3 linked regions of the Stegostoma tigrinum genome follow. The protein of the gene in region 2 purifies or fractionates together with the protein of the main gene of each other region. This does not show direct contact. Links are inferred from orthologs where the notes say so. Each region holds a gene or a part of one and is shown on either strand. Other genes may lie near its edges. The genes, in order: ribonuclease P protein subunit p25-like protein, rpp40 and rpp30.

Region 1 (3,751 bases), on a different chromosome or scaffold from region 2:
AGTTCAAGTTCCACCCCAGGGCCTGGGGGCCATAGTCAATGGGTATCTAATGATCAAACAGGTCAGGTATGAGCCTGTAAATGCTTCTATGGATAGATGGAAACAATAGGGGAGTCCATTCTTTGGTGAGAGCTGTGTAACAGCCCTCCTAGCTTGTTCTCTGAGGCAAGTGTCCTCTATATTTCAGCTGCCACTTCCTCGATCTACTACTGTCCATATTGATTAGGCTTTTGACCCAGTAATAGTGAAGGAAAGCCCATATAGTTCAGAACTGAGAAAGGGTCACTCAACCTGAAACGTTAACTCTGACTTCTCTCCACAGACGCTGCCAGACCTGCTGAGCCTTTCCAGCAACTTCTGTTTTTGTTTCTGATTTACTGCAGTTCTTTCAGGTTTTATTGTGGCCGTATTTCAATATTGGCCATGTTGTGCATTTAACATTCTGCTTAATGGGTTGCCTTTTGTACCTCCATTCCATTTACTTGTCATTGCTGTTTTTGTTTTAGTTCTTTGTGGATCTAGCTGGTCCAGCATTATTGCCTATCCCTAACTGCCTTCCAGAAGACGGTGGTGTGTTGCTTTCACACCACTATGCTGTTAGGAAGATTTTGACTCAGTAATAGTGAAGGAGCAGTGATATATTTCTAAGTCAGGATGAAGGAGGATGATCTACTATGTATATCACATGATATCCATTCAGTATGTTGAAAACACACATAATATAGTGTCCATGAATAATATCCACAGGTTAAAGTAATTGGAAGAAGGACGGAGAGGAGTTGATGAGTACACAGTCTTAGAGTCATACAGCACCGGAAAGGGACCCTTTGGTCCAACATGTCCATGCTGACCAGTTTTCCCAAAATAAACTAGTCCCATCGGCCCATAATCCCTCAATACCTTGCCTATTCATGTACCTGTCCAATCTTTATTTAAATGTTATTATTGTACCCGCCTCTATCACTTCCTCGGGCAGTTCATGCCATATATGCACGACCCTCTATGTGAAAAAGTCACCCCTTGGGTCCCTTTTAAATCTTTCCCCTGTCACCTTAAACCTATGCCCCTCTAGTTTTGAACTCCCCAATCCTGGAGGAAAAACCTTGGCTATTCACCCCATCCTGATTTTATAAACCCCTCAGCATCCTACATTCCAGTACGTTTTTCACCCAGAGAGCGGTAGGGAACTCTCTTGTCTGAAAGGGTGATAGCGGCAGAAACCCTAATTTGAAAAAAAAAGGAATTCTGCTGGGAGGGATTTATTTTTTACTCAGCTAGCACACAGTCAAGGGGCAGAACAGCCTTCTCCTGTCGGGTAGATACTTGTCAGTCACTGCTTGGGACCGCAAAGTGCTGCAGATAGAATGAGGCAAACGCCGCAGAGAGGAGCTTGGTGCAGAAGGGGTTAAATAAATGACATTCATTCGCCGTGAATCAGGATCTCGTCACAGGGACAGTGAGGGAGAGAGATTGCACCCTGTTCAGTACAGATGCTGCAAACAGTTTTGCCTTGGCATCAGGAGAGAAACGGTCCCCCCCCCCCCCCCCGCCCCATTCTTAACCGCGCCTTGCAATTGAAAGTGGTTAAAACACAAGACGCGTTGGAAATGGGGAGGCATTGCCCCATCCTGGATTACTCTCAGGCCGGCTGTCGAGGGAGGAGATTTCGCTGAGGAACGAGCAGCCGAGGGTCGCGGGGAGAACGGGAAGTAAGTGATGGCCGCAGCTTGATGGATGGAGCTGACGCAAAGTACAAAACACAAACATTAGGGAGCTTGCATGACTGTTTGAATCCGTTGCTGCCCCCCTATCCTGGAGCATGATGGAGTGAAACTAATCTCGCCCAAATTGTTCGTTGCTTTAAAAAAAACGTTGGCCAGTTTTTTTGCAAACCAACGGCAAAAAGAAGCTGCCAGTTTTTGTTTAGAAAGCGACCTTTGCACCGTTTTGCAAAGGAACAGAAAAAGACAGTCCATCTTTGCGAAGGAATGAATTAACAACTTTGCCCAGTTTTGCAAAACAACGACAAAAAAAAGTCTTGTCAGTTTTCTGCACAGGAAGGAAAAGAGAAGGACTTTGTTCAGTTTTGCTAACGGAGGAAAATAAAACAAACGAGTCCAGTTTTGCAAAACACCGACAAAACAAGTTGTCAGCTTTTGCACAGGAAGGAAAATAGTAGGATTTTGGCCAGTTTTGCAAAGGGACAATCTTGCAGTTTTGCAAAACATCAACGACTGAAAAAGTCTTTCAGTTTTTGCAAATGAGGAAAGCAAAGAAAAACCTTGCCTAGTTTTGCAAAACAGCGACGAAAAAAAACTGTCAGCCTTTGCACAGGAGGAAAATAAAATGACTTTGCCCAGTTTTGCAAAAGGAAAACGACGAAAATAATTTTCTTGCAAAGGAAGAGCAGAGAAAAGATTTTGCGTATTTTTTGCAAACGAAGAGGACAAAATTAAAGGACTTGGATGGTTTTCCTGACTCCAAACCAGAAAACCAAGTCAGACACTTTGGGAATTTGGTGTGAGTGGTAATGGCAGGGGGTTGGTGCATGGTCTAAGAGTACATTTGCAAAAGAGAGATGCAGGGCTCCGCTGCAAGTGGCGAGATGGCAAACTATCGGAAGATCGGGCGGACGGAGGAGGAGAGCCCCCTGCCTTTCGCTGACCTGCCGGCGGACACGGTGGAGATGCGGGTGAAGGAGGGCAGCAAGATCCGCAACCTGATGGGCTTCGCGCTGGCCCGCATGGAGCTGGAGGGGACGCGGAGGATAGTATTCAGCGGTTCGGGCCGGGCGGTCACCAAGACTATCACCTGCGCCGAGATAATGAAGCGGAGGCTGGGAGGTTTGCACCAGATCACCAAGCTCCGTCCGAGGAGCCTGCGGGAGACCTGGCAGAGCAGCACCGCCGGCAGTGCGGGTGCCCTCACCCTGCTCAAGACCGTTCCGTCCGTCTGCATCCTGCTATCCAAGGAGCCCTTGGACCCGGCCGAAGCCGGCTACCAGCCTCCGGACTGCGGACCGCCGCTGTGGCCGGAGCCGGCCGCTGGTGTCCGAACGGGGCAAGAGGAGCGAGGTCTCACCCCGGTCAACCGGGGCATCAAGCGCCGCTCCCGGGGGAGCGACAGTAGCGGCGGCTGCTGCGGGGGCGAGACGGTCCCGAAGCTCAGCAAAGGGGAAGAGGCCAGTGAGGGCGCTTCTTTCCCCGGCTACACTTACCTCCCGAACCCCCAGCAGTAACACACAGACCGCTGGCACAAGTGATAGTGCCCCTTGCCCCTACACCGGGAGTGTGTGATATAACGTCTCTGATCAGGTTCATATTTTAAAAAGTCACTTCACCATGAGGGGTCCTGTTGTGGTGCAGCGGTAGTGTTCCTGGTCCTAGACCAGTGAACACCACCCACCCCCAGCCCCATCCTTGTTGGAGTTCCACCAGCTCCAGAGGGTGTGTCAGACCATCTCTGAACAGGTCGGAAAAAGATCACCTCATCATGAGCGGACCTGTTGTGGTACAGCGGTAATGTTCCTGCTCATAGACCAGTGCCCTCCCCTCCCCCATCCTTATTGGAGTCCCACCAGCTCTAGAGGGTATGTCAGACCATCTCTGAACAGATTGAAAAAAAGATCACTTTGCCATGAGGGGTCCTGTTGTGGTGCAGCTGTAGTGTTCCTCTCCTAGACCACAATCTCCCCCTCATCCTTGCTCATGTTTGACAACCTCTTGAGGATGTGTCAGAGCATCTGTAACAG
Region 2 (3,751 bases):
AGGGATATGGGCCTAACAATACTAGATTAATTTAGGATATCTGGTTGGCATGGATGAGTTGGACTGACGGTTTCTGTGCTGTACATCTCTCTGACTCTATTCAGATGATTCAATAGAATCCCTACAGTACAGAAACAGGACATTCAGCCCAACACATCCATACCACTCCTCTAAACAGCATTCCAACCAGACCCATCACCCTGTAACCCCCCTGATTTTGCACATCCCTGAACGCTATGGGCAATTTAGCATGGCCAACCCACCTAGCCTGCACATCTTTGGACTGTGGGCATTTGGAGGAAACCCACGCAGACACAGGGAGAATGTGCAAACTCCACACAGACAGTCGCCTGAGGCTGGAATCAAACCCGGGACCCTGGTGCTGTGAGGCAGCAGTGCCAAACATTGAGCCATCGTGCCACCCCGTGATTGTGACTGTGTTTGTTACTGGAATTTTTTGATGCTGTGGAAGCTCAGTCTTTGACTATGGTTAAGGTAGAGATTGATAGATTTCTAACTACCAGGGGTGCGAAGGATTTTGAGAATAGTCTGTGGGTGAAAGGCAGACAAGTGTTTGAATTGTATTAAATGCTGGAGCACGCCCGTTTCTAACTGAAGATTCATCCCCAGGACATGGCTGTGGGCAATCTTTTCACGGGCACCTCTGTTTACGAGTCAGAAAAACATTGGTGGTGGGAAACAAATGGCTCTTTGTCCTGACAGTCGAGAATTATTCGACTGGGTAGTGAAGAGAAAGGGGGAGGCCTGGAGGATGGAGCAGTTAGCTGACAGAATAGATTGATCCTTGGGGAATACATTTGACTAAAATTGGCCAATTACCTCGGTACCTTGTCCTGATTGCTACCAATAACCATGCTGGAAAATGAATGGGTTCTAAACTGTTTAAGAAAAACAGGGCTCAGCCCATTGATCATGAAAAGGTTCAATTCTTACTTTGGGAATGCGAGTGTTGACTTGAGACAGGCCCTGAACATTCAAACGCGGCTCTTCTTCCACCTTGGCCTCCAACCAGCAGAGGGTGCACTCTGCCCTCCTCTCCAGAGGCGCCAAAGGGAGCGCCAGAGCTCGCGGACGACGGGAAGAAGCGGAGAGGTTCTGAGTGGGGAAAGTCGTTAACTGGCGCGTGGAGCTGTTGCCGAGGGGAGAAGCGGTAAACGGCCCTCGCGGACGGCGCGAGGAGCTGTGGCCCAGTTTGGGAAGATGCTGCACAACGTGGAGAAATGCGCGCGGCACCTAGTGGTTAGTGAAAGATCCAACTTCAGGCACAGTAAATCAAAACACCATAAACACGTGCAGGCTCATCACTATAACTACCAGGTGGGTGATTGACAGGGGCAGGAAAACTTTATGACTACCTGGTGGGAGATTGACAGTGGGCGGAGGCTAATCGTCATGCTTCTTTGATGGGTGATTGACAGGGGGCGGAGATTAATCGCCATGTTTATCTGATGGGTGATTGACAGGGGGTGGAGTCTGATCGCCATGACTACCAGGTGGGTAATTGACAGGGAGCGGAGAACTCATTACTTTCCCTTTTATTCTAACGGAACATCGGTGCTAGGTCCACTTCTGCTTATCATTTATATAAATCATTTAGATGACAATATAGAAAGCACGGCTAGTAAGCTGCAGATGAAACCAAGATTGGTGGTATAGTCGACACTGAAGAAGGCTGTCTAAAATTACAAAGAGATCTTGATCAGTTCATTCGATGGGCAGAAGAGTGTCAAATGGGGTTTAATTTGGATAACTGCATGTATTGTATTTTGGTAAAACAAACAAACACAAAACTTATACAATTAAAATAGGAGATAACACGGTGTGAAGCTGGATGAACACAGCAGGCCAAGCAGCCCTAGAGGAACAGGAAAACTTGACGTTTTGGTTGGGAAACTGCTTCAGAAATGTTTCGGACAGAGTACAGTAGCTTCTTTAAGGAAGGCATCCTTAGAAGAGGTTTCGCAGCAGGGTTAAAATTGTTACAGAGATAGTAGGAACTGCTGATCCTGGAGAATCTGAGATAACATGGTGTGAAGCTGCATGAACACAGCAGGCCAAGCAGCATCAGAGGAGCAGGAAAGTTTGAAGTTTCGGGTCGGGACCCTCTTCATTTCTGATTGCATTCATTGCTTAGATCTGTGAGTATAGGAGTTGTGATGTTATGTTGAGGTTGTACAGGATGTTGGCGAAGGCTCTTCTAGAGTACTGTGTTCAGTTCAGGTCTCCCTGTTATAGGAAGGATATTATTAAGCTGGAAAGTGTTCGAAAGAGATTTACCAGAATGTTGCTGAGAATGGAGGGTTTGAGTTGTAAGGAGAGGCTGGATACATTTCTCACTGGGGCATAGAAGGTTGAGAGGTGACATTTAAAGAGTTTTATAAGATCATGAAGGGAGTAGATAAGGTGAATAGCAGGTGTCTTTTCTGTAGGGTGGGCGGTTTCAGGACTAGGGGCACATTCTTAAGGTGAGAGGAGAAGGATTTAAAAAAGACATGAGGGGCAATTTTGTTTCACAGAGAGTGGTTCGTGTGTTGAATGAACTTCCGAGGAGATTGTGGATGTGGGTATAGTTACGATTAAGAAATATTTAGATAAATATGTGAATAAGAAATGCTTGGAGAGATATGGGCCAAGTGCAGGCAAGTGGGACTAGTTTAGTTGGGATTATAGTCGGCATGGACTAAAGGGTCTGTTTCAGTGCTGTATAACTCTATAACTTTAAGTCTATAACTGCCCACGTCTGTGTTTGACAGGGGTACAGTTAATAAATCTTCAGCTAAATGGTAGAAAAAATGGAGGTGCCCATTGTGTTTTAGTTAGTTACCAACAATGCTTCACTTGGATTGTCTCCTGTATGGTTTCGTGATTATTTTAAACCTTTTTATGTAGGAAAGAGTCCAGGTTGTCTGGACCAATGAAGCTCCAAAGAAATATCTTTGACCCGAAATAGAAACTCTCTTTCTCTCTTTTCTGTTAGTGCCATAATATTGAAGGCTGAAACAGCAACAAGTGAATTTGTATTTATATACCACCTTTTTAACAGAATGGAACAGTACAAGAAATGGGCAATCAGGGCTGGAATGCTTGTGCTGTTTTACTATTTCAGAACCACTTCCGTCAGCAGTTAAATTCACTGTAAACGAAAATGGCATTGTGTTTGTGCATTTTTTCATGTTTGTGTGTGTTTTTGATGTTCAGAAATGACAAATGTTAAAGGTAGCAATTGAATAGTAAGTGCCCCCAGTGGGAATTACTTAGCAACATCATTAGAAGCTCCAAGTAACACCTGTTCAATGGGGTTCAATGTTGTAATGCATTTGCTAAGTTGGCTGCATTGAGTGTCTTGCTTTTACAGTCAACGATTTTGATATGAAAGCAATGGCAAACCTTGTGTAACTTTTTTTAGGGTTTTATTTGTTTTAGAGATGAATATCTTCAACAAGCTATAATGGTTGATGGCCAACTGTTGTAGTTTTTAAAAGGTAAAGATGCCATAGTCCAAATGGATGAGAGGGCTGCTGTGTCGTTAGAGAGAGATGACTGGTGGTGGTTTAACCTGGGGGTCACCACACCTGAGATGGGCCGAAGAGGTTGAAAAAGAGAGTCCTTTGTGGTAAGCTCAGCTGGCTAGCTGGCTGATTTGCGATGCAGAATTACACAATACATGTTCAGTTACCACATTGGCTGAGGTTACCACTTGATCGTGCCTTCTTAGCCTTGCACCTCACCT
Region 3 (3,751 bases), on a different chromosome or scaffold from region 2:
AGAGAGGTCTGTGATGGATCCATTGCCAAAAATCACCAGTCGTATTGTCATGAGGCAAGCAATTTTTTTGGAAGACAACTATACTTCAGCAGAATCTTCTGGAATACCTGACAATTTACAAAGTTGAAGACCATTGTCAAGTTGAAAAAATATTGAGTGGTTGGCATCAGCCATTTTCTCATAGGCTGTGATTATCCTCTCAGCTATATCTCTTGATGGCCAAATTTCTCACAGATTCATGGAAGAAGCGTTTAATAAATGTAATCAGTCCGTTCAGTTTCTCCTAATGATCACTCCTTCAATGGACAGCTGGGAGATTACTCTAATTTTCACAGTTGGATTTGTCCGATTACTTGTCACAATCGTAGGGTCACTGACATTACTCAAGACTTCCTCTTCACTTCAGATCTCCAAAACATTTCACCGACAGGATGCTGGAAACGTAGAACTTGCCACCACAAAAAGTCCATGCAACGAGCAGTGATGCCCTTTAGAGGAAAGCTTGATAAAACACCAAAGGGAGAAAGGACCAGACCAATGTACGGAATGGAGAGAATAGTCTCCGGAACACTCGCACGAGTTGTGGGAAGTCACCCCCTTCAAATGTATATCAAAAGGTTTTCAACGATGTTGGTCGAGAATGTAACATTAGACAAGTGCACGGACATCTTCCGGATCTTGTCCGATTCACAAAATCCTTTAGGTCCACCCTAATCAACAACTTTGCCAGTTTACTAGAAGAGTTCAGAGTAGAACGCTATTATGTCTTAAATTCGTCAGTGTCCATGGACAGAGCAGAGTGCACTCTGTTCACCGGGACGGGAGAACACCAACAGCGGACTTACCTGGTCTATGAAGACCGGAACCCTCTGATGCAGACTGGCACTTGTTCAGGAGCGAGCACAGACCAGGTACGAAGTGACCGGCCTAATTTTCGTATATCGACCACTAGCACTCAGTTATGTTCTCTCTTCGACAGACAAAAGCATCAGGGCTGGGACTATGATCCCTTTCACATGCACATATGTAGATCACCAGAACTTAGTTGTGATCGCTGTCATACAGACAAACACTGACCGCCAGAACTCAGTTATAAATCACAGATTGAACCTAGTGGCTCCAATAGCCGCTTGCCTGCCGCGCGCTCCCAACTAACGTTCCTGCCGCGCGCTCTGGTTTTTAAATCCCACCAATAGCGAGCTGCCAGCTTCCCGGAGCATCACGGGTAGTGGGTAGTGCAGCTGCGCAGCGGTCGTGTGGTTCTTGGAAGATCGTGGTAAGGTGATAAGATGAGGAGAAAATGCTTTGTGTCCTTATTTGTAAGGATGCTAATCGGATGGGATGCGGATATGAGCCTGGGAATCATAGTATGACGATCCAGTTCAGCATGACTTTGCTTTGACGCAAGGTCGCCGTCCAGAACCTTGAACTCTGTTTCTGTCTCTTCACAGATGTTGCACAGCATAACCGAGCTTTGCCAGCATTTTCTGTTCTTTTTCGAGTTTGTCTTTGATTTAAAGTGGGATCGACAGTAGACGGTGCCTTTAGGCGAAGTGCTGCGGGCGAAAACATTGACCTTTCCAGCCCAGGAAGAGCAAACGTTTCCCCTCACGTTGTGAAAGCATGGCGCCTTTTGTAGATTTAAACATCGTCAACACTACGGACAGAAAGAGATTGCAAAGTCTAATAGAAACAGCGGCACACCGTGAGTGTTGTTTCTTCTTAAATCACGTTGCAATGTCTTAAAGCACGTTACAGTTTCACTCTTTGAATGTCTGAGAGTGGATTTAATTAATGTTTTTTAAATGTTCTCTTGTCATGTGAAATAATTATTTTATTCTTTTCGGGCGACTGACAAACCGCATTGAATGAACTGCGTAGGATTTAGTTTTAATGGTGATTCCCAACCTGGAAATTATTGTCATTATCAAATTTCGTACACAGCGCTGTTCTTCAGACACAGCAAAATCAGAGTCAATGCGAATCAGAACGAAAACTCTACTATTTCAAGACATGTCTAACACAAACGATTCAGTGATAATGGGAACTGCAGATGCTGGAGAATCCAAGATAATAAAATGTGAGGCTGGATGAACACAGCAGGCCCAGCAGCATCTCAGGAGCACAAAAGCTGACGTTTCGGGCCTAGACCCTTCATCAGGTCTAGGCCCGAAACGTCAGCTTTTGTGCTCCTGAGATGCTGCTGGGCCTGTTGTGGTCATCCAGCCTCACATTTTATTAACAGAAATGATTGAAGTGTTTCTAGGCCAGCCATCTCAGTCCTGGGAGATTGCTGTGGGATTTCCTCGGGGTAGAAATTGGAAAATCACCTGTTCAGACATATTCCGAAGCAGGTGGGGCTTCCACTTAGGCATCCTTGCCCCACAGTAGGAGCGCTTCCACTGTGCCACCAGATCCCTAACTGTTCCTAAGAGTATTAATAAACCGAATTTTCTAATCAACCTTTTCAAAGGAGTTATTGCACACCTCTAAAACCGGTGGAACTTGAACCCAGGCCTCCTGGTCCAAGGTAGAGATACTACCACTGCACCAGAAGACCCCTGACTGCTATGTGCAGAGACCTAAACCCAATTATTTTCAGATGCTTCACCAATATGAGTTCAGAATAGGGATGTTTCTTGATTGGAGATTCATTACCATCTTTGACTTCTCATATACTGAATCAGTTCTTTTTTTTTAATTAGTCCCAAAACATTTCTTTACTTGGTCCAGAGTAGAGCATTCAACCTTTATTGATGTCCCCACATTCTTTTGGTGTTTTTTACCATTGATGTGATCCAGTAAGTTGATTGAATCCTTTAGTCACAAACATTCCAGTAATATGCTCCCATATCAGACTGTAGTCTTTGCGATGACTATGGATTTTCTTAAGTTTATAATCATTGTGGCATGAAAGCTCATGCCTGATTGGTACTGGAGGCTTTGCACTTTGCATCTCTCTTTCTTCTTGCAACTGCTTATGCACCAATTTCTCATATTCCTTATTGGTCCCACTTCTTGCATTTTTTTGTCCTGCTCCCTGATGCCATCTGCAGCTAAGTGTGGATAACATTTGGGCCTGGCTGATGAGTGGCAAGCAACATAAGTGCCAGGTATCAACTTTTTCAAACAGAAGAATCCAATTGTGTCTCCATGACATTCAATGATGATACCATTGTTAGAACTCCCAGCATCAACATCCATTGACCAGAAATTCAGCTGGATCAGACATATAACTAATATGGATGGCTGAAAGAGAAAGTTGGAAAATAGGGATTCCTGCAGTGAGTAACCTACTTCCTGACTTCCCAAAGCCTAGTGGCAATCTGCAAGACACTGCTGAGGACTCTGCTGAAATGCTGTCTGCTGGCCTGGATAAACCCAGTTCCAACTACATTCAAGAAGCATGCCTACTATGCAGGAAAAAAAACAGCCTATTTACTTATCAGCCAATTTGAATAGTCAACCCCATCCACTAGGGTGCAGTGGTAGCGATGCATACCATATAAAGGACGACAGCGAAGGCAGTAGAATTATCAGAATGCAACCTGCAAGTTTTCATGCGAGTTATACACCATCCTGACTTGGAACTACATCACTGCTGCTTCACTGTTACAGGGCTAAAATCCCTAACAACACTGGGTGCACCCTCACCAGAAGGACTGCAATGATTGAAAATACCACCGACTCCACTGCAAATGCTGGGACTACTGCCATCCCACATGTCCTGTGAAAGAATGCAACAAAAAAG

What was found.
Region 1: the proteins of rpp40 (region 2) and ribonuclease P protein subunit p25-like protein purify together in Homo sapiens (affinity purification with mass spectrometry; 3 studies listed by BioGRID and IntAct, counting the BioPlex papers as one, with this or other methods). This does not show direct contact. The link is inferred for Stegostoma tigrinum from reciprocal best matches to the Homo sapiens genes RPP40 and RPP25.
Region 3: the proteins of rpp40 (region 2) and rpp30 purify together in Homo sapiens (affinity purification with mass spectrometry; 3 studies listed by BioGRID and IntAct, counting the BioPlex papers as one, with this or other methods). This does not show direct contact. The link is inferred for Stegostoma tigrinum from reciprocal best matches to the Homo sapiens genes RPP40 and RPP30.

The regions. Positions count from the first base shown.
Region 1 is NC_081389.1:16,614,072-16,617,822, reverse strand, and holds the start of ribonuclease P protein subunit p25-like protein, read left to right. Parts: upstream 1-1,555; 5' UTR 1,556-2,578; coding exon 2,579-3,238; 3' UTR 3,239-3,751. UniProt on the Homo sapiens protein: Component of ribonuclease P, a ribonucleoprotein complex that generates mature tRNA molecules by cleaving their 5'-ends. Also a component of the MRP ribonuclease complex, which cleaves pre-rRNA sequences.
Region 2 is NC_081355.1:11,664,431-11,668,181, forward strand, and holds the start of rpp40 (ribonuclease P protein subunit p40), read left to right. Parts: upstream 1-1,067; 5' UTR 1,068-1,221; coding exon 1,222-1,338; intron 1,339-3,751. UniProt on the Homo sapiens protein: Component of ribonuclease P, a ribonucleoprotein complex that generates mature tRNA molecules by cleaving their 5'-ends. Also a component of the MRP ribonuclease complex, which cleaves pre-rRNA sequences.
Region 3 is NC_081373.1:44,335,236-44,338,986, reverse strand, and holds the start of rpp30 (ribonuclease P protein subunit p30), read left to right. Parts: upstream 1-1,218; 5' UTR 1,219-1,276; exon of another isoform or gene 1,277-1,451; 5' UTR 1,452-1,623; coding exon 1,624-1,705; intron 1,706-3,751. UniProt on the Homo sapiens protein: Component of ribonuclease P, a ribonucleoprotein complex that generates mature tRNA molecules by cleaving their 5'-ends. Also a component of the MRP ribonuclease complex, which cleaves pre-rRNA sequences.